3 linked regions of the Caenorhabditis elegans genome follow. The protein of the gene in region 1 purifies or fractionates together with the protein of each later gene. This does not show direct contact. Each region holds a gene or a part of one and is shown in the gene's direction. Other genes may lie near its edges.

The links. Proteins that work in one complex are often made in the same cells at the same time.
Region 2: the proteins of ucr-2.2 (region 1) and F29B9.11 fractionate together in Caenorhabditis elegans (co-fractionation; one large-scale study listed by BioGRID). This does not show direct contact.
Region 3: the proteins of ucr-2.2 (region 1) and nuo-5 fractionate together in Caenorhabditis elegans (co-fractionation; one large-scale study listed by BioGRID). This does not show direct contact.

What each region holds. Positions count from the first base shown.
Region 1 is NC_003284.9:15,170,163-15,180,733, forward strand, and holds ucr-2.2 (Peptidase M16 N-terminal domain-containing protein), read left to right. Parts: upstream 1-3,741; 5' UTR 3,742-3,742; coding exon 3,743-3,877; intron 3,878-3,926; coding exon 3,927-4,073; intron 4,074-4,335; coding exon 4,336-4,547; intron 4,548-4,600; coding exon 4,601-4,682; intron 4,683-4,729; coding exon 4,730-4,864; intron 4,865-4,869; exon of another isoform or gene 4,870-4,944; coding exon of another isoform or gene 4,945-5,429; intron 5,430-5,499; coding exon of another isoform or gene 5,500-6,301; exon of another isoform or gene 6,302-6,319; intron 6,320-6,690; coding exon 6,691-6,830; intron 6,831-6,881; coding exon 6,882-7,072; intron 7,073-7,588; coding exon 7,589-7,815; 3' UTR 7,816-7,983; downstream 7,984-10,571. Other genes in the region: ocr-3 (Ion transport domain-containing protein), read left to right, coding at 1-309, 370-534, 581-760, 1,409-1,516, 1,565-1,731, 1,788-1,897, 1,939-2,029, 2,079-2,205 and 3 more; col-41 (Nematode cuticle collagen N-terminal domain-containing protein), read right to left, coding at 4,945-5,429, 5,500-6,301; pkhm-2 (PH domain-containing protein), read right to left, coding at 8,505-8,567, 8,614-9,082, 9,149-9,639, 9,768-10,041, 10,083-10,531.
Region 2 is NC_003282.8:4,659,131-4,661,885, reverse strand, and holds F29B9.11 (Cytochrome c oxidase polypeptide VIIc), read left to right. Parts: upstream 1-1,684; 5' UTR 1,685-1,685; coding exon 1,686-1,799; intron 1,800-2,037; coding exon 2,038-2,190; 3' UTR 2,191-2,255; downstream 2,256-2,755. Other genes in the region: jmjd-1.2 (JmjC domain-containing protein), read right to left, coding at 1-80, 245-529, 576-647, 695-877; mrps-21 (Mitochondrial Ribosomal Protein, Small), read left to right, coding at 2,369-2,520, 2,574-2,755.
Region 3 is NC_003283.11:2,697,163-2,701,971, forward strand, and holds the start of nuo-5 (NADH-ubiquinone oxidoreductase 75 kDa subunit, mitochondrial), read left to right. Parts: upstream 1-1,809; 5' UTR 1,810-1,815; coding exon 1,816-1,908; intron 1,909-3,112; coding exon 3,113-3,865; intron 3,866-4,809. Other genes in the region: Y45G12B.2 (Zinc finger protein-like 1 homolog), read left to right, coding at 1-291, 1,296-1,418.

The sequences.
Region 1 (10,571 bases):
CCGGACACCAATGGTAACACGGTGCTTCATCTGACAGTTATACATGATCTACCTGAAATGTTCATGTTGGCAGTGGAACTCGGCGCTAATTTGCACGTGAGAAACAATTTAAAGCTTACGCCTTTAGCATTGGCAGCTAGACTGGCAAAGAAGCATATTTACGATTTGATATTGGAATGTGACATGGACATTTCATGGAGGTATGGACCGGTGGTCTGTAAGGCCTATCCACTTAATGATGTGGACACTATCAACGAAAGTGATGGCTCGCTCAACCCAAACTCAGTTATAGCGAATGTAGTGTACGGAGTGAGTCATTTTTGTACTTGTTTGCTTTCTTCTTGAACACACTACATGTGCTCTATACAGGACAAAGTGGATCATTTGGAGTTTTTTGATGGGCTCATTGAGGAAGTCTTGGAGAGCAAGTGGGAGACTTTCGGCAAAAAACAACTTTTTATGTCACTCGCTGGATATATATACTTTCTGGCGGTGTTTTATCTCGCTTTCATGACCAGAGATGCCCACATTCTCGTGAGTAAATGCTAGTTAATAAATGAAAACACATGAACATTTGAAGCCAAGTGATGAGGACGAAAATGAAAAGTTTGGAATGATTGAACTAGATTTCTCAAATTTCACAAATATTCTCAGCGAGGGGTTAAGTTTGAGAGAACATTTAGCAATTGCGAGAATGGCAGAAAGAGAAGCTCTACCAGCACACTGCCATCTTTGGGATTATTCAGGACCATCGCAACAGGTAAAAGGCAGGGTATTTTATAGAAAAAAAATCGACTATAGAGTGTGGCCCACAAAATAAAACTTTTCAACTGGTACAGTATTTGTAACACTATTTATTAGAATAGTTTTTAGACGAAAAAGCCTCTTTAGTGGGGCTCAGTCCCAGCCCCACAGTGAAAAATTTGTTCTTCGAAGTACACAGTTCTTTAGGAAAATCACGGCGAAAAGCCAAAAATCCTGACCCCCAACCAATGTCAGCCGCCGACATCTCACGAGTTTCGCGCCCCACAGTGTTTACCGTGAAAGTGCGCCGAGAGTTCAGCGTCTTATCTTGCTAAAGTGAACGCTGCAGGGCGCCGAACTCATGAGATGTGGGCGGATGATATTGGTTGGTGTCCGGATTTTTTTTCCAAGCCCAAAATTCGACAATTATTGAGTACCAGTATAATCATGGACTCACTGTAATGCTATTCATAATTATTATTAATATGTCTAACCATATAATGATTCTTTTTGAAACGTTAGGCATTTTTTTTTACTTTAGATTGGCTGGAGGTCAAATTGGAAAAAATTTTGATGGTAAATGGAAAATTCCAAACATCTTGTAGTAACTACAACATGTTGGGTTTCGATCCTACTAGCACTTAATTCTTTCTTTCTCATTCAGATTCGCATGATAAGTGAAATTCTGTGTCTACTCGCAGTAGTAATCCGAACATTTAAAGACTGCATTGATGCTCACCGAACAGGTGTTTCTCGCTGGTGGAACTCTATTGTACGTACCTGAACTATCCTCCTCTCCGAATTTCTCGTTAAATTTCAGAAGGCCTTCCCTGAGAAAGTTCTCCATAAGTTCTGCCAAATTCTTGTGTTATGCACAGTTCCACTCCGTGTTGGATGTTATTTGGACGATAGTTTTCTAGTCATTGAGAACTTGCTAGTGGTGTGCATTGTAATCATGAGTACTTTGCATTTTCTTTTTTATTGCAGGTTTGTCTTTTAGAAGTTTGAAGATACAAGTTTGAACTTATGACAAAGTTTTTCAGAAGTCTTAAATTTGTCGGGCCATTTGTGTTGATGGTGTACAAAATTATTGTGAGAGATATGCTGCGATTTTTGCTTATATACTCGTTTTTCTTAATGGGATTTGCACAAGGTGAGTGTTTTCATAATTTCAATTGTCGAAGTATTTTCCAGCATTTTTTGTTATATTCAAATCCTGTGAGAGAGCAGAAATTGCTTATCAGAAAGCTCATAACTATACTGAAGACGATGAATATATTGAGAAGTAAGAAAACATTTCTTATCACGATTTTATACTACCTAATGTTTTTTAGATTTGAAAACATCATGGAAGATGGTTGGGAGGCAGTGATGAGAATGTTTATTATGAGTGTGGGAGAATTTGGTGCACTTTATAAAAACTTGAACGAGTGCAAAAGCAGCATTGCTCCACAGTCCAAGGTTACAAAAAAAGCTCTTTTCAGGCTTACAAGCTCGTTTTAAGGTATTTTTCATCCTCTTCGAGTTAATTGTGACTGTTATGCTTCTGAATCTACTAATTGCTATGATGACTCGTACTTATGAGAAAATTGCCGAAACTGAGAAAGAATGGAAGCGTCAGGTGATTTTTTTATACTTCAACATTTTATTTTCAAGTTTCACCATTTTACTTTCCAGTGGGCGCAAGTAATTTTAATGTTAGAGCAGTCATCTTCAGCCTCGGAACGCCTCCTATCACTTTATCGTTATACTCGGCCAATACGTTCCGATAAACGAAGAAGAGCATTTGTTGTGAAAGTGAAGTCGAATGTAAGTGAATCTATAAATTTTCCCTAATTTATACTAGAATTTGAAAAAAATTAACTTTATTTCTTATTGTACAAATTTGATGGCAAGACTTGGTGATTCCCGAATCCTATTAAAGGTTGTGTAGTCGAATATTTTTAATGCTTTATTAGACTTGAAATTGTCTGAAAACACCGAATTTCATAATGAAACTTCTTGAAAACTTCTCAAAAAAAAGTTATGACGCGTGAAAAAGTGACCTAAAATTAGTTAAATTTTGAAATTTGACCGACTTGCCTATGTCGCAGCGGCTGGAAACAATTTTTTTTTGAAATTACCGTCAAATTTTGAATAAACCGTGTAATTATCTTGTGTTTTCAACTTTATTTAGGTACTTTAAAGTCGATGGAAGGCAAGATTTGGTTTAAAATAATTTAAAAATCTCGCCGTTATTCTAGCGAATTTTGGGCCATTTTGTGAGCCGTCATAACTTTTTTTAAAAAGAAGTTTTCAAGAAGTTTCATTATGAAATTTGGCATTTCCAGACAATTTTGAGTCTAATAAAGCAATAAAAAAATTCGACTACACCACCTTTAATGTCTTCAGAAATATCCTAACTTGGTTTAAGCACATTTTGTTAGTTTTGTAAAAATTATAGGAAAACATAATTTTTGCTGAAACTGAAAAATTTGTAATCAAACTTTTCCTCTCGAAAAAAACCTCACAAAATTTATATCATTTTTTTAGTTTTCAAATATATTTTTTCAGGACCGCCAGCAACCACAACTCAAATTAATTCCACCGCGTGGAAAACCGTCAATCCGCTTGTCAAACAACAGTTCCATTCATGTCTTACATGTTCTATCAAAACATGCTTCGTAAAAACTAAAAAAATTTCAATTATTCGTTTATTAATTTTTGCCGTAATAAAGTGTTCATAGTCCTCGTCGTTTCATGCCATTTGGCCAGTGACGTATGTGCGCACGAAACGCGCAAGCGAGAAGGGATGCGTCAGCAATGAGTCGGGAAAGGCGTCTCTCATTTTTTGGACCTATTTTTGTGAAAAATGAAGTTATTTTTAGTTTTCCATTTAATATTTAAACAAAAAATGAATAAATTTGATAAATTATGCACTTTTTATAACCGTATTGTTCAATTTTACCCAATTTTTGAAAATTATCTAGTTTTTCTTTGAAAATCTAGTTTTTTCAGAATGCTTAGCCGCAACATTGGAGCTGTTCGCGGAGCCCATAAGGCAGCAACGACAAAACCAGTCGAAAAAGTGGCCAAACTTGGAAATGGATTGACCGTTGGAACTATCGACTCTCACAAACCAATTGCACATTTGGTTTTTTTTTAATTTGTTTCTTCTATCCGAAATCATCTTCAAATTTTAGGTTCTTGCCTTCAGAGCTGGAAGTCGCTACGAAAAAGCCAACCAGGCCGGACTCTCTCATACCATCAGAAATTTCGTCGGCAGAGATACCCAGGAATACTTTGGAAACACAGTTGTATGGACGTTGTCACAGACCGGAGGAGTTCTGGTGAGCAAGAAAAAAAAATCGATAAAGTTGAATCTACTGGGCGTTAGAAAAGAACTAAGAATTTTAATGTAAATTTGAAGAAAGATTGCATAATACATTCACAGTTTTTTTTAGAAAAGATTTGTTAGAAAAAAAATTTGGAATTAAGTATTTTGTATCAAAATTTCAGAAAAAATGTGGTCTAATTAACTTGGAGCAAAATTATCAAATTTTCATGAGCATTCCAAAAAGTCTCACAGACATAGCGAGGGTGATGTTTCAGAAATCCTTCACCTCCCGCGATCTTTTCGGAGTCTCCCTCACAATTCCACGCGAAAGCACTTCCGTCGGACTTTCCGTATTGGGACAAGTCGCTGGTAACCCAGGATTCAAGCCATGGGAAGTCGAGGATGTGCTGCCAACTATGCGCGCTGACAACGGATACAGAACCGCTTACGACTTGGTTGTTGACCAGATTCACAAGGCCGCTTACAGGTTTGGCATTGAGAAGCTTTCGAGAATTCATTGAGCAAAACTTTTTTTTTTAGAAATGGAGGACTTGGAAACTCAATCTATGCACCATGCTCTAAAATTGGATCGATCTGCACATCAACTTTGTCCTCATTTGCAGTAAGTTGCTTATTCTTATCTGCAAGTTTTCAATTTTAAAATTTCAGGAGCAGCACTTCGTCACAGGAAACGGAGTATTGTTTGCCACTAATGCTGTTCACGATGACCTTCTTCTCTATGGAGACAATCACGCCCCAATCAGAAGTGGAAACGCTGCGTCCCCATCTTCAAGTGCTTACAAGGTGAGTTCTTGAAAACGAATATTTATTCAGTGGAGTTGGATAACAAAGTCATAAATAATGTCATGAGAAGTGTCACGCATCTACCAACGTCTCTGGTAGCTTCCAGTTTGTGGTGGAGATGGAGCATCGTATCCTCCTGATGGCTGCTCTGGCTTGGCTGGTGGTGGGACGGAATAAGCTGGCTCAGCTGGATAGCTTGGGGATGGGTAGCTCGGAGATGGGTAGCTTGGGGATGGATAGCTTGGAGATGGATAGCTTGGAGACGGGTAGCTTGGTGATGGATGAGCTGGCTCTTGTGGAGCTGGGGATGGGTATCCAGAATCTGGAGTCTCTGGCTCTCTGACTGGTGGCTGTGAAGCTGGTGCTGGACGAGTTGTTGCTGGTGGAGCGCGGGTGGTTGCTGGTGGAGCACGAGTTGCTGGTGGAGCGCGAGTTGCTGGTGGAGCACGAGTTCCTGGAGCAGCAGTGGATCCACGTGGTGGTGGCTGTGGAGCGGATGTTCCAGATGATGGTGGGGTTCTGTCGTCTTGTCTTTGTGGGCATGGGCAGTAGTTGGCATCTTTTCCTGAAACAATTTAAAATGTTTCATCACTGTTTGTTCAAGAAATTCCTAGTAACAACAACAAAAATTTTACCTGGAGCTCCTGGCTTTCCAGCTTGTCCCGGGGTTCCTGGGAAGGCGTCGTGACCAGCGTTTCCTGGAGTTCCTGGTGCTCCTTGTGGTCCCTCCTCTCCGTCCTTTCCTGGCTCTCCATGTTGTCCTGGAAGTCCTGGCTCTCCCAACCATCCTGGCTCTCCTGGCTGTCCAGCTTGTCCTGGGAAGTATGTGGTTCCTGGCTGTCCGTCTGGTCCGTCGGTCCCATCGTATCCCTTTGGTCCTTGTTCTCCTTGATCTCCTGGGGCTCCCTCCTGTCCTGGGGCTCCATCTTCACCGGATGGTCCGGATTGCCCTTGAAGTCCTGGGAATCCTTCTGGTCCAGAGTCTCCATCAGGCCCTGGTGGTCCAGCTGGTCCCTCTGGGCATTTAATGCATCCTCCTGGAATATCGTGAGTGGTTGCAAGAGAGATACCACTGGCTCCACGTCTTCCTTCATCTCCTGGATGTCCTTCGTCTCCACGCTTTCCTGGGTTTCCTGGTGGTCCTGGTGCTCCTGCTGGGCATCCTTGAGAGTTGCTGTCGCAATTGCACATTCCTGGGTACACAAATCTCTTGTTACGGAGGAGGGATGGCACTGGATTGGCAGATTCTCCTGTTGGAGATTGAAGAATCAGGAGACGATCCCAAGTATCATCGGCAAGAACTTTGAACTCATCAACGCGTCCTTCAACTTCGGAACGAAGGTTGTTAATATCTTGAACAATATGTCCAATTGAGCAAAGAGCGGAGAAAACTCCGAGCAAGCAGACGCCTGCCCCAATATAGCCAAGAGTAGACATCGTTGAGAACAATGTTGTGTATTGCTTTGGTGAACACTTTTTTATACATTTTTCTCCGAAAAAACTCGAAAGCCGGCAAGAACTTGCAAGGGCAAGGGGGAGGCTGGGAAAACTTAGAAACTTAGACACGCAACAGATCGGGAAGAACGCGCCGATAAAAAATTACCGGTCCTAGTCGTATGACAGATATCGCAATGCGACGGATATTCAGTATACCTTTGGCATGAAGAGGAAAAAACTTGCTACTATTGTTTCTTTCCCCGAAAAAATGCAATCACTCATTTTGGATTTGGAAATAGAACAGAAAAACTTTGCAAATTTCAATTTCATTATCCACTCCACTGTTTATGTTATCTATACTATCATTTCTCACCTTTTCTGACACCTAGGGAGGAGAAGTGCGCAGAGATGCCGATTCGAAGTACGCGCATGTGATTGTCGCTGGAGAAGGAGCTGCCGGAAACAACACGAAAGCATTGGCCACCCAAGCAGTTCTCCTCACCGCACTTGGAAATTCATCACCAGTCAAGTAATACAAAAAAGGAATTACAATGTTCACACTTGAAATGATTAATTTCAGATTCAACACCGGAACCACTGGAGTCATCGCAAAAGCCGTCGGACAGAATGGATCGGCCAGCGCATTCCAAGCTGTTCATGCGGATAGTGGACTGGCCGGAGTATACCTTGTCGTTGAAGGAAGCCAGGCTAACCAAGCTGTTTCGAATGTAGTTGGAGCATTGAAGTCTTTGAAGGTCGCTGATATTGAAGGTAAGAAATTTTGTTTTTTAGAGTATAAATTTGATAAAATGGGATCACACTATTTTTGTACATCGATATTTCTGAAATTATAAAAAAAAATAAAAATTAAATAAAGATATGCTTCTAGGATGTTCTACAACATTCTATAATAAAATAGTCCAGAAAGCTGCAGAACTTTCCGGGGCAAAACTTTCAAAATTTTCGGAGAAAACTTTTTTCACGACCTAATACTTGACATTTTTGTATGTAGATTTACAATTTGAGCCGCCTTAGAGAAGGGCTTTTGTATAAATATGATTTTTAGAGGCCTATACTGAAAACCCAAAATATAAATTGTGTTCTTGTGGTAGAGTTGAACTTAACTAAACTAGACTAAAGCTAAACTATGCTAACCTTGTCGTAAAATTTAAGCGAAATGGAATATTTCTAGCACAAAACTAATTGCAGATTTTTAGGTTGATGGTAATTTCAAACTACTGTGACGTTACCGACTTAATCGGTTTTTGTATTAATTTCAACTTTCAGCCGTCAAGAAGCAGGCCTTCAACAACGCCTTGAGAGCCTCTGCTCATTCCGACAACTTTGCCATCGAGAGAGCCTCCCAACTCTTCCAGTCCCAAGACAATTACATTCAACAGATTCCAAATGTGTCGGCTAGTGATGTTGAAGTTGCCGCCAAGAAATTGACTACCAAGTTGTCGTTGGCCAGTTATGGAAATGTCTCAGAAGTCCCATATGTTGATACTCTGTGAGCATCTAGTTAAATTAAATGATTTTACTCCAGTAGACGAACGCATTTTGTTATTTTTTGGTCAATTTGTTTTCCGTCTCATATGACTATTTTTTTGCTGTCAATAAAAGGTACTAGACTTTGAAATTTGTTTGTTCAATGAACAAAAAAATAAAGAAATTATTCACGTAATCAAAAACAGACAGAAAAAAAAAGTAAGCTCGAATAAGCTTATACATATACCGAGGGTGAATAAGTGAATTGTAAATGTGAGAGTTAGGCTTTGAAACGTTCGGGAGAAGCGGGAAAGAATGACAACTTAAACGTGTAAAAACATGAAATTCCGTATAATCTAGTTTGGGGTGTGAGCATTGAAATGTGCAGGATAACAACAACAAAAAGGTGGGTTGAAAGAAATCTGGGAAATTAACAGTTATTAGCCGTGACGAACAGAAGCACCGGGGGCTCTGCACAAATGGGCCCGCGATAGACTACAATTAAATGAGACAAGTTCGAAGGAACAGAGTTGAAGGTGGGAAGAGGAGATGACATGAGCTACTGAGCTACTTTATAAGTGTTAAGGCTGAAATGGAAATGAATGTGTATGGGGAAAATTGGGACAAAAAAAGTACAAAAGTACAATGGGTACCCGGACCAGGTAGCGATTATCATGGAGTTAACTCTTGATGAGTAAAGAAATGGAGATGCGAATTAGACTGGCCACAGCGTGTTGGCGGAGCAGCAAGTGTTATGGATGATTTTTCCAATCGGTGTCTAGAAATTATATTTAATTAGTTACTAAGTTTCTCTATTAACATACCTTAATCAAATCATCATCAAGCTTTGCCCAACGGACACCGTAACTGCTTTGAACAGCAGACGCAAGCCGTTCCAGCTCCTTATCGAATCGGACGAAGAAGTAATGAATGGTATCGTCTTTGGTGACCAAGCAAAGCGCAGGCGAGCGATTCCCAAAGAAGCTCTCCTTATCCTCCGGCTGACGAACAACTACCGATTGCTTGACGTTAATACCTCCAACTTCGTTGAGAAGGCGCAAGAATCCATCGGACCAGAACTTTTCGCCCTCTTGAACCAGTGCGATGCAGGTCTCCGTGACTACTGCAAGGCAAGATGCCATGTATGGCTGCGTCGTCTTATTCTCCGCAATCATTGTCAGGATTCTGGTCCATTCGATTTGATCCTCCTGGGTTGGGCACTCAAACTCAAATGTACCTTCTGCAGCTTTCATTTGGAAAGCAACTCTTCCTGTGCTATTGATACTGGAGCCACTGAAAATTATCAAATTATATATATTTTATTGAGTTGTCTAATGCACAAAAGCTGATTTTACTAACCTTAAGCTAATCACCAATTCTTCGGTCTTGCAGGTCGAGTCGGCAAACACATTAAAATTGTTGCCAACAATCATGCAGTACTTCTGCTCAGCCTCGTCGGAGCTCTTAATCCAGTTCCCAATGTTCGATTTGAACAAAAAACCGGATTTTGTTGCAGTCGATCGTTCACGCTCCTCATACGTCTGTTCGTACCAGAAGCACAGCGTCGCAGCACGAACATCAATTGTGCGTCCGAGTTGCTTCTCTAAATTTGGCTGAAGCATGCACATATATCCAATGTGGTCGTCAACTTCGGCATGGTTCGTAATCTGGCGACTGCTGTGCTCGACGAGGTTGATGAGCGAGTTGATCATGTGTGCACCGCTCTCCAATCCAGCCATTGAGCCGACGTACGCGAAAACTGTCTGGTCATCTTTCTCCTCGCTGTGCACATAGTGGCTGAAGCCTTCCTCATTGGCTTCCAACATGAATGACAAGTTATCAACGCTGATCTGAAAAAAGTTAAAGCTGAATTTCATGAAAATGTGATTTTGACCATTTTTGACTGTTCACGTGTAAAAATGCCATGATATCAATCACAGGGTTTTTAAAATTGCACAGAAGAGCTGGAAATGCTTACCTTGATGGTCTTGATCCGATCGTGTGGCATGCGGAACAGTGGGATGAAAAATCCTTCTGACGAGAGGTTTGTTGTTTTTCCTGGCGACGAATTCTGCGTGTGAGTTCGGTATTTGAAGACGTAGACGTTGTAGTTGGTCATAACAAGGTAGCGAAGCTTCATGTTGTCCGAGTGGAAGCTCTCGATCACTTTGAAACATTCGATGATTTTCTCTGACGACTTCTCGAATACGTTGATAGCAAGGTGCAAGACATCTCCTTGGCTCATTCTAAAACTAACTCAATTTGATCAGTAAAAGCTCAGTTTAAAACTCACTGGTATTCTCCATCTGCTAAATTATACTCTGGAAGCACCATATCATCTGGCTCGACGCTGGCCAAGATGTGCTCAATGCCATCTGGATTCATCGACTCCATATTCACACAAGACATTTTCTTGGTCATCACATCTTCCAGCTTTTCTTCAACAATCACCGACGGCGATGGAGCGTTGTCCTCATTATTTTCTTCGTGCTGAGCATCAAACAACTCGGTGTTGAGTCGGTTATGACGAGTGCGAACTAGCTCGTCGAGCAGAACATCCTGGTCAATTGCTTGCGATAGTATCGATGGAATTTCCGTTGGAATGACGTTTGGAACAGTGTCCTGTGATGCTTCCTTCTCAGTGAGCTTTCGTTGGCGAGCTTGAGCTCTCAGGGACAATTGAGTCGGCGTAGAGTCGATGACGGCGGCTGGAGCTGGTTCGGCACGGAGTTGGCGAGTACTCTGAAACAAATGTGCATTTAGAATTATACACATGTAAGCT
Region 2 (2,755 bases), on another chromosome or scaffold:
AGCTTCAATTCTTCTTGAACTTCTTTCTTTTTTGTTTTCATTTCGTCGAAATTCGAAATTGAAACGAAACGGAATGGAGGCTGGAATAAAATTTGATGATATTTATCAATTAATTTTTTTTCTTCATTTAAAAGTTCAGTATGATATTGCCACGGGAAATTTGAATTTTTTCAAAAATTTATAAATTTATAAATAAATTTTTTTTGAATGAAAATAATCTTCCACATTTCAGAATAAACCATACCTCAGATCCGTTGCTGACGTAGTTCTGATTTGACTCCATCTTCGGCGCTTCCGCTTCCATCTTGTTGCTCATTGCAGCCTGATTATCCGATGAATCTGTCACATGTGGCTCGATTTTAGGCTCGCTCTTCGGATTGTGCTGCTTTCTCCTCGGATCTTTTGGAGCGCCCATCTTGTTGTAAGCTCTCGCCTGGAAAATTACGTTGAGAAATGGAGGAAGTTCAGTGAAATCGGAGGTTACACTCACTTTCATGAGCACTGATTCTATCGCAAAATCAACCGAATTCTGAGATGAGACTTTTTTTAAAATTTTAAATGAATAAAACACTTACTCTATCCATTTCGGAAACCGATTCATGGGAATTGCCATTCAAATGATTTTGAGGAGCTGCGACGCTTGCTTCCTGTAATCAATATCATTGAATAATCGCAGAAAAATAAAAAATCGTACAGAAACTAATGGCGTTTGATGCTCAGTAGAGGAAAGAGCCGGTTGAGAGGCTGTGTATGACATTCCTGGCTCGCCGATTGCCGATTCGTGATTCTTATGGTCGGAATGCTGATCCATCATTAGAAGTGCTGATTGGTCTCGAGAAAACTCGTTTTTTTGTATATTTATATCATTACCATCCATTTGGAATGTGTAGATTCTGGAAAACAACGATTTTTAACGGAAAACTCGAAAACTTCAACGAATAGTCGATTGAAAGGGAAACAACGGACAAAATAACATGAAAATAGCTTCGAAATGTTTAAATTTATTTCTGTTACAACATTTTTCAATAAAAAACTCCAGAAAAATGATGGAAAACTGAAATATATGCTGAAAAAACTGTAAGCCTCGAGGAGATGTGAAGAAGAAGAGAAACGAGACGCAGCATGCGAAACAAGAGACACTGCGAAACGGGGGAACGTGAGTCGCGATGAAATTTACGAGTTTGTGGGATTAAATACTAATTAGTAGATAAACTTTAAGATGAAAATATCAATATTGATTAGTTGAATTGATTGCAATTCTGAATACAAAAAATTTTTAACGAGAAAATCAATTTCTGCCTGTCCACTTCCGGGTTTTGGTGTCTCGCATTCACCGTTCACTCGCTTCGCAGTGTCTCCGTCTTTCTCACCTTCCGTATTCTCACACTTGGCACGTAGCCAAGCGGCTGGTCTCGCAACGATTGTTTTTGTTTTCCGTCAGCCGTCTCTGCGCCTTTAACCTCTCACAGCCTGCCGATTATTTTTTAAGCAGATTTTTACTATTTTTCAGCTTTCAAGCTTCATCCATTAGCAAAATCAAATAATTTTTTGATTCATTGTGTAGAATTAACGATTTTCGTATAGTTTCTGTTTTTATAACCGCCTGAATCGTATTCTCTGTTTCGTTTTCTATGGATTATCATGCTTGCTCAATTACTCTGTAAATTTAAACGATTTATTGCAGGATGCTGAACCGTGCTGTGCTCTCCTTGGCTAGAAGCCAACATGTCATCCGTCGCTCGCTTCACAAGGGAGTTGACTCGACCCCACCACTCCGTTTCACCTCTGTCAGCGAGAAGGTAATTTTTTATTTGCTAAATGTCTTGAACTTATCCTTGTGAGCAGTAAAACTTAAAATACCACTAGCTCACCAAAAAAAACTAAATTTCAGTTTGTACATTCGTTTGAATGGATTTGAAAAATTAATTTCTGAACTAAAAGATACAGTTTTGAAATTTGTCTCACTTTTAATTTAGCTGCTCAAAAACATATTTATCCAGATATCCATATTATTCACTATAACACCAATTTTTTCAGGTTGCCCTTTACGGACTCATCTGCGTCGCTTTCATGGCATACCCAACTTCCGTCCTCTTCAGACTTGATAGTCTTCGCCCAAGACCGGATAATGCTCTCTCCCCAGAAGTCCAAGAAGAGATTGACGCCCGTGTTGCCGCCCGCAGACAGTAGAAGTAATATTATGCCACGAGCCATTGTGTAGACTTTTGAGAACAACAATAAATCGATTCTTGTTTTCTCTTCGCTTTTTCTCAATTTTATTCGCTGTCAAATGTGGTTTATCCATCCATGAAAGATAAATGTTCGATTCGGTTTTTCATTTAGAATTTTTTTGATAATTGTTTTAAAGATGGTACGTCAATTCACCTGGAGAGGAACGATTTCTCAGCCGTTCGCGATTAAACTTTTCAAAGGAATTTGGAATTCACATCCAAGATTCGCAACTCGAACAGTAATGGTGCAGAACAATGATGTCGATGGAGCTTTCGGACTTCTTAACAGGTTTTCTTTGGAAAAATTCCCAGAACATAATTTCAAGATTGAAATAATTTCAGATTGATGGATTCAGAAGGAATGCTGAAAATCATTCGCCGCACTCAATTCTATCAGAAGCCCTACATGCAACGAAAAACACTGTCGATGGAAGCATCAACGGCGATTTTCAACGAGGACATGAACCGGAAAATGAAATTTCTCGTTCGAAAAAATCGTCCCGACAAGCATCCCGGACAAGTGA
Region 3 (4,809 bases), on another chromosome or scaffold:
GCAACCCATCTGGAAATGGAAGACACCGCTTCCTACTCGGTCTCCAACAATGACGTCACTTTTGCGCGAAAAAAGAACTACGGAGCCGAATCTTCAAGCGATACTCGTCCACTTTTACAGCTCCGTGACGCCGATAACGAGGAGAATAAATATAAACGGCGCCCGACGATGGATTGGATGCGCGGGCTCTGGAGAGCAAAACATGGCGGCTCCGGGGTCCCACAGGAACGGGCTTCCGCGAAAAAAATCGCGCTTTTCGTGATTTTCCTGGCCGTTTTGGCTTTGATTACGGTTGGATTTTAAAAAGCGACTTTTATAGACTCAAAAACGCCAAAAAAATATTTTTTCCCTGAAAAAATGGCCTAATTTTAGCTAAAATACATCAATTTCGCCGACTTTTCCGTGTTGCATCTGTCGGAAATTCGCTTTTATTTGATTTTATCACAGTTTATTTTCAATTTTTATCGTTTTTCTCACGTTTTTTTCGTTATTTAGTGTACATTTGAAGCATATAAACCGAAAACGACGTGAGGGCGGAGCCTAAACCGCAATCCTGCGGCGCGATGTTTCGCAACTCCACCGCGCGACTATTTTTTACAAGTTTTTAAGTTTTTTTTCGCATTTTTCGAATAAAATTTCCAGTATATCGTGATTTTTTCGAGATATTTCGATAAAATCTCATGAAAAAAAAATTTCGACTGACAAAAAAACAGCGCGGCGGAGTTGCGAAATCGCGCGCCGCAGAATTGCGGTCCAGACCCCGCCCACAATTTTTTGCGCTCAACGTCTGCCGTGTGGCTTAAAATGTACATTAAATAGCGAAAAAATGTGTAATAAACAATAAAAATATAAAATAAACGATGAAATTTCATGAAAATAAAATATAAGTCAATTTCCGACCGCTGCGACACGGAAAAGTCGGCGAAATTGGTGTATTTTAGCTAAAATTGAGCGATTTTGAGTATTTTTAAGCGAATTTTGAGCTTTTTGAGCAAATTTTGAGTGTTTTTAATCAAATTTCGCAAATTTTGAGTCATTTTGATCAAATTTTAAGGCTTTTTGAGCAAATTTATTGTCTTTTTGAGCAATTTTTTGAGTATTTTAGAGCAATTTTTGAGTATTTTTGAAGGAAATGTTAAGGCTTTTTGATCAAAGTTTGACTTTTTTTGAGTGAATTTTGAGTATTTTTGAGCGAATTTTATGGCTTTTTAAGCAAATTTTGAGTGTTTATGAGTCTTATCAAGCAAATTTAGATTCTAACTTCATTTAATTCCAAATAAATTGTATTTTTCCAGATTATAATGGTGATGAAGCGTGCCGGATACAGCGGCGAGCACTCATCGGACCCCCTTTTCGATCCAATGGCCAATCCGAATATTCGCGTCGCCGTCGAAGATTCTCGTCTTCCACACGTCTAAAAAATTTTTTTTTTTGAAAAAAATGTGCATATCCTTCCCTTTCTGTGTAATATTCAATGTCTACTCATTCCCCAACGAAAAAAAAAGTTTTTCGAAAAATTTTTTATTTTTACTTTCGCCTGCTAATGATGCTAACAAACGGGATTTTTTCTGATTTTTTTCGATTTTTTTCGCTAAAAACTAGCTAAAACTAGCTAAAACTTGGTTGTAATTAATTATTAATTATTTATTCTTTTTTTTTGCCCTATTTCTTGTATATTCGGTGGTTTAAATGGTATTTATTGATTTTTTTTCCTCTAAAAATTGAAATTCGGTTAATTTTCTACCGAGATTTATATTTATTTTCTCTCAATTTTTCGGAAAAAATTTCAGGAAGTAATTGCAATTTCAGAGCACCATGCATCGCGTCGGTGGACAAATTGTCCGCGGAGTGTCGAAGGCTCAACAGAAGAGATCGCTTTCGGTGGCGGCTCCGGCTCCACCGAAAAAGGTGAAAAAACTGGAATTTTCGGCGGAAAAATTGAAGAAAAATGGATTTGGCAAAAAAATAACGAATTAACTAGCGAGAAATTCAAAAAAAAAGCTTAATTTCATCTACAATCTCCAATTTTCCATCATTTTCCATTTAAAATTAGTGCCAGAATATAGAAAATCGCTCGATTTATCGGAAAATCACTTTGATTTTAGCTGAAATGTTGGAGAAAGCGCTCAAAAAGACAGTTTTGAGCTTTTTCTCAACTGTTTCATCCGAAATTAATGTGATTTTCTCGATGAATCGAGTGATTTTCTATATTTTGGCACTAATTATTAATTGAAAATTTTACAAAATACATGGTGCAATGATGTTTTACTAAAATCAAAAATGTTTTCGTTTTTCAATTAAAAAAATCGAAAAATTCCGTTTTTCGGTTCGAAAAATCAAAAATTTTTAGATTTTTCCTTTAAAAAACGGAAAATTTAGTTTTTTTAATTTCCGAAAAAAGAACAAATCGAAAAAGTACGTTATTTAATTTAAACAAAAATCTAAATTTCTTCGTTTTTCAATTGAAAAAAAAATCGTTATTTCCTGTAAAAAAATCAAAAATTTAGTTTTTCGGTTCAAAAATCGGAATTTTTTCGATTTTTCCTGTAAACATCGAATTTTTTTTTAAATGCTCGATTTTCTCTGACAATTTTTTTTACAAAAAAATAAAAATTATTCGATTTTTCCTGTAAAAAATCTAATTTTTTTTTTCAATTAAAATGATCGAAACATTTCGTTTTTAAATTTATCAACAAAAAAAACATAAAATGAAAAAAGCACGTTTTTCAATTAAAAAAAAATCGAAAAATTACGTTTTTCAATTTTAAAAAATCTAATTTTCCTGTAAAAAATCTAAAAATTTAGCTTTCAGTTCAAAAAATCAGAATTTTTTCGATGATTTTTCCTGTAAAAAATCGAAAATTCGTTTTTTTTTCAATTTTTAAAAATATATCGTAAATATATATTTTTCGATTTTCCGGAACCTAAAAACCCAACATTTTTTTCAATTAAAAAAAAAAAAAAACGAAACAAATTTCTTCCATTTTCCGAAAACAAAAAACTTAAAAAAAAAATTTTTTTTCGATTTTCAAATAAAAAAAATCGAAATTTTTCGATTTTCCCTGTAAAAATCAACAAAAAAACCACTAAAAATCACCTCATTTTCTTCCAGGTCGAAGTCTTCATCGACGACAAAAAAGTGCTCGTCGACCCGGGAATGACGATTCTCCAAGCGTGCGCGCTCGTCGGCGTCGACATCCCACGCTTCTGCTATCACGACCGTCTCTCAATTGCCGGAAACTGCCGAATGTGTCTGGTAGAGGTGGAGAAGTCGGTGAAGCCTGTCGCATCATGTGCGATGCCTGTCATGAACGGAATGAAAGTCAAAACCAACTCGGATTTCGTGAAAAAAGCTCGCGAAGGGGTGATGGAGTTCATGCTCAACAACCATCCACTCGACTGCCCGATTTGTGATCAAGGTGGCGAATGTGATCTACAGGATCAGGCGATGAATTTCGGATCCGATCGTGGGCGGCTTCAGTCGAGATTCGATGGAAAACGGGCTCTCGAGGATAAGAATATCGGGCCGTTGGTGAAAACTGTGATGACTCGATGTATTCAGTGTACTCGATGTGTCCGATTCGCTAATGAAGTGGCCGCTTTTCCGGATTTCGGCACCACCGGACGAGGACAAGATCTTCAAATTGGCACCTACGTCGAGAAATTTTTTGCTTCAGAGCTCTCTGGGAATATTATCGATATTTGTCCGGTCGGAGCTCTTACCAGCAAGCAGTACGCGTTTACGGCCCGGCCCTGGGAGACTAGAAAGACTGAAAGTGTTGATGTGATGGATGCGACCGGATCGAATATTGTGCTTTCGCATCGGACTGGCGAGCTTCTGCGGGTTATTCCGAAAATCAACGATGTACGGAGTTTTGAAACGAATTTTTTGGAAGACATAGCTTTGAAAATTTTGAAGAAGAATCGATATTTTTCGAATGTCGAAAAAAAAATTGTATTTTTGGCCATTTTTCACTTTTTTTGGAGAAAAAATCGATATTTTTCAATTTTCTCTGAAAAAAATCGAAAATTTACAGATTTTTTGAATTTTGATAATTAAAAAGTTGAAAATTGTGTAGTCTAGTTTGGAACAGGGGTGTGCGGCAAATGGAAAAAATTGCCGAGCTCGGCAAATCGGCAATTGCTGGTTTTTCAAAATTTGCCGAGCTCGGCAAATTCGGCAAATCTCTTTTTTCAATATTTGCCGAGCACGGCAAATTCGGCAAATTTGCAGAGCTCGGCAAATTCGGCAAATTCGGCAAATTTGCCGTGCTTAACAAACTCGGAAAAATTTGATATTTTTTATGTTTTGTGGAGCACCAAAACTACTGAATTCTTAACACACATCTGGTTTCTGAATAAGTTCCGCGTAGTATGTCTGTTTAAGCATCAAAATAGCTCAATTTTGTGTCATTTTACTAAATTTTTGGCTAAAAAATCAATAGTTTTATTCAAAATTGTACTGTCAAATTTTTCACGTGTGCGGCAAATTTCGAAATTTGCCGAGCTCGGCAAATTCGGAAAATCTACTTTTTTGAAAATTGCCGAGCTCGGCAAATCGGCAATTGCTGGTTTTTTTAAATTTGCCGAATTCGGCAAGTCGGCAATTTTCGGCAAATCGGCAAATTTGCCGCACACCCCTGGTTTGGAATAAAAAATTGTTCGGCAACATTTTACTTTTTATGAATTTTTAATGCTTTTTGAGCTGTTATCGGTAAAAATCGATTTTTTTTTCAGAGAAAATCAAAAAAAAAATCTAATTTTCTGAAAATAACTTAAAAAGCTTATTTTCGATAAATAAATTCATTT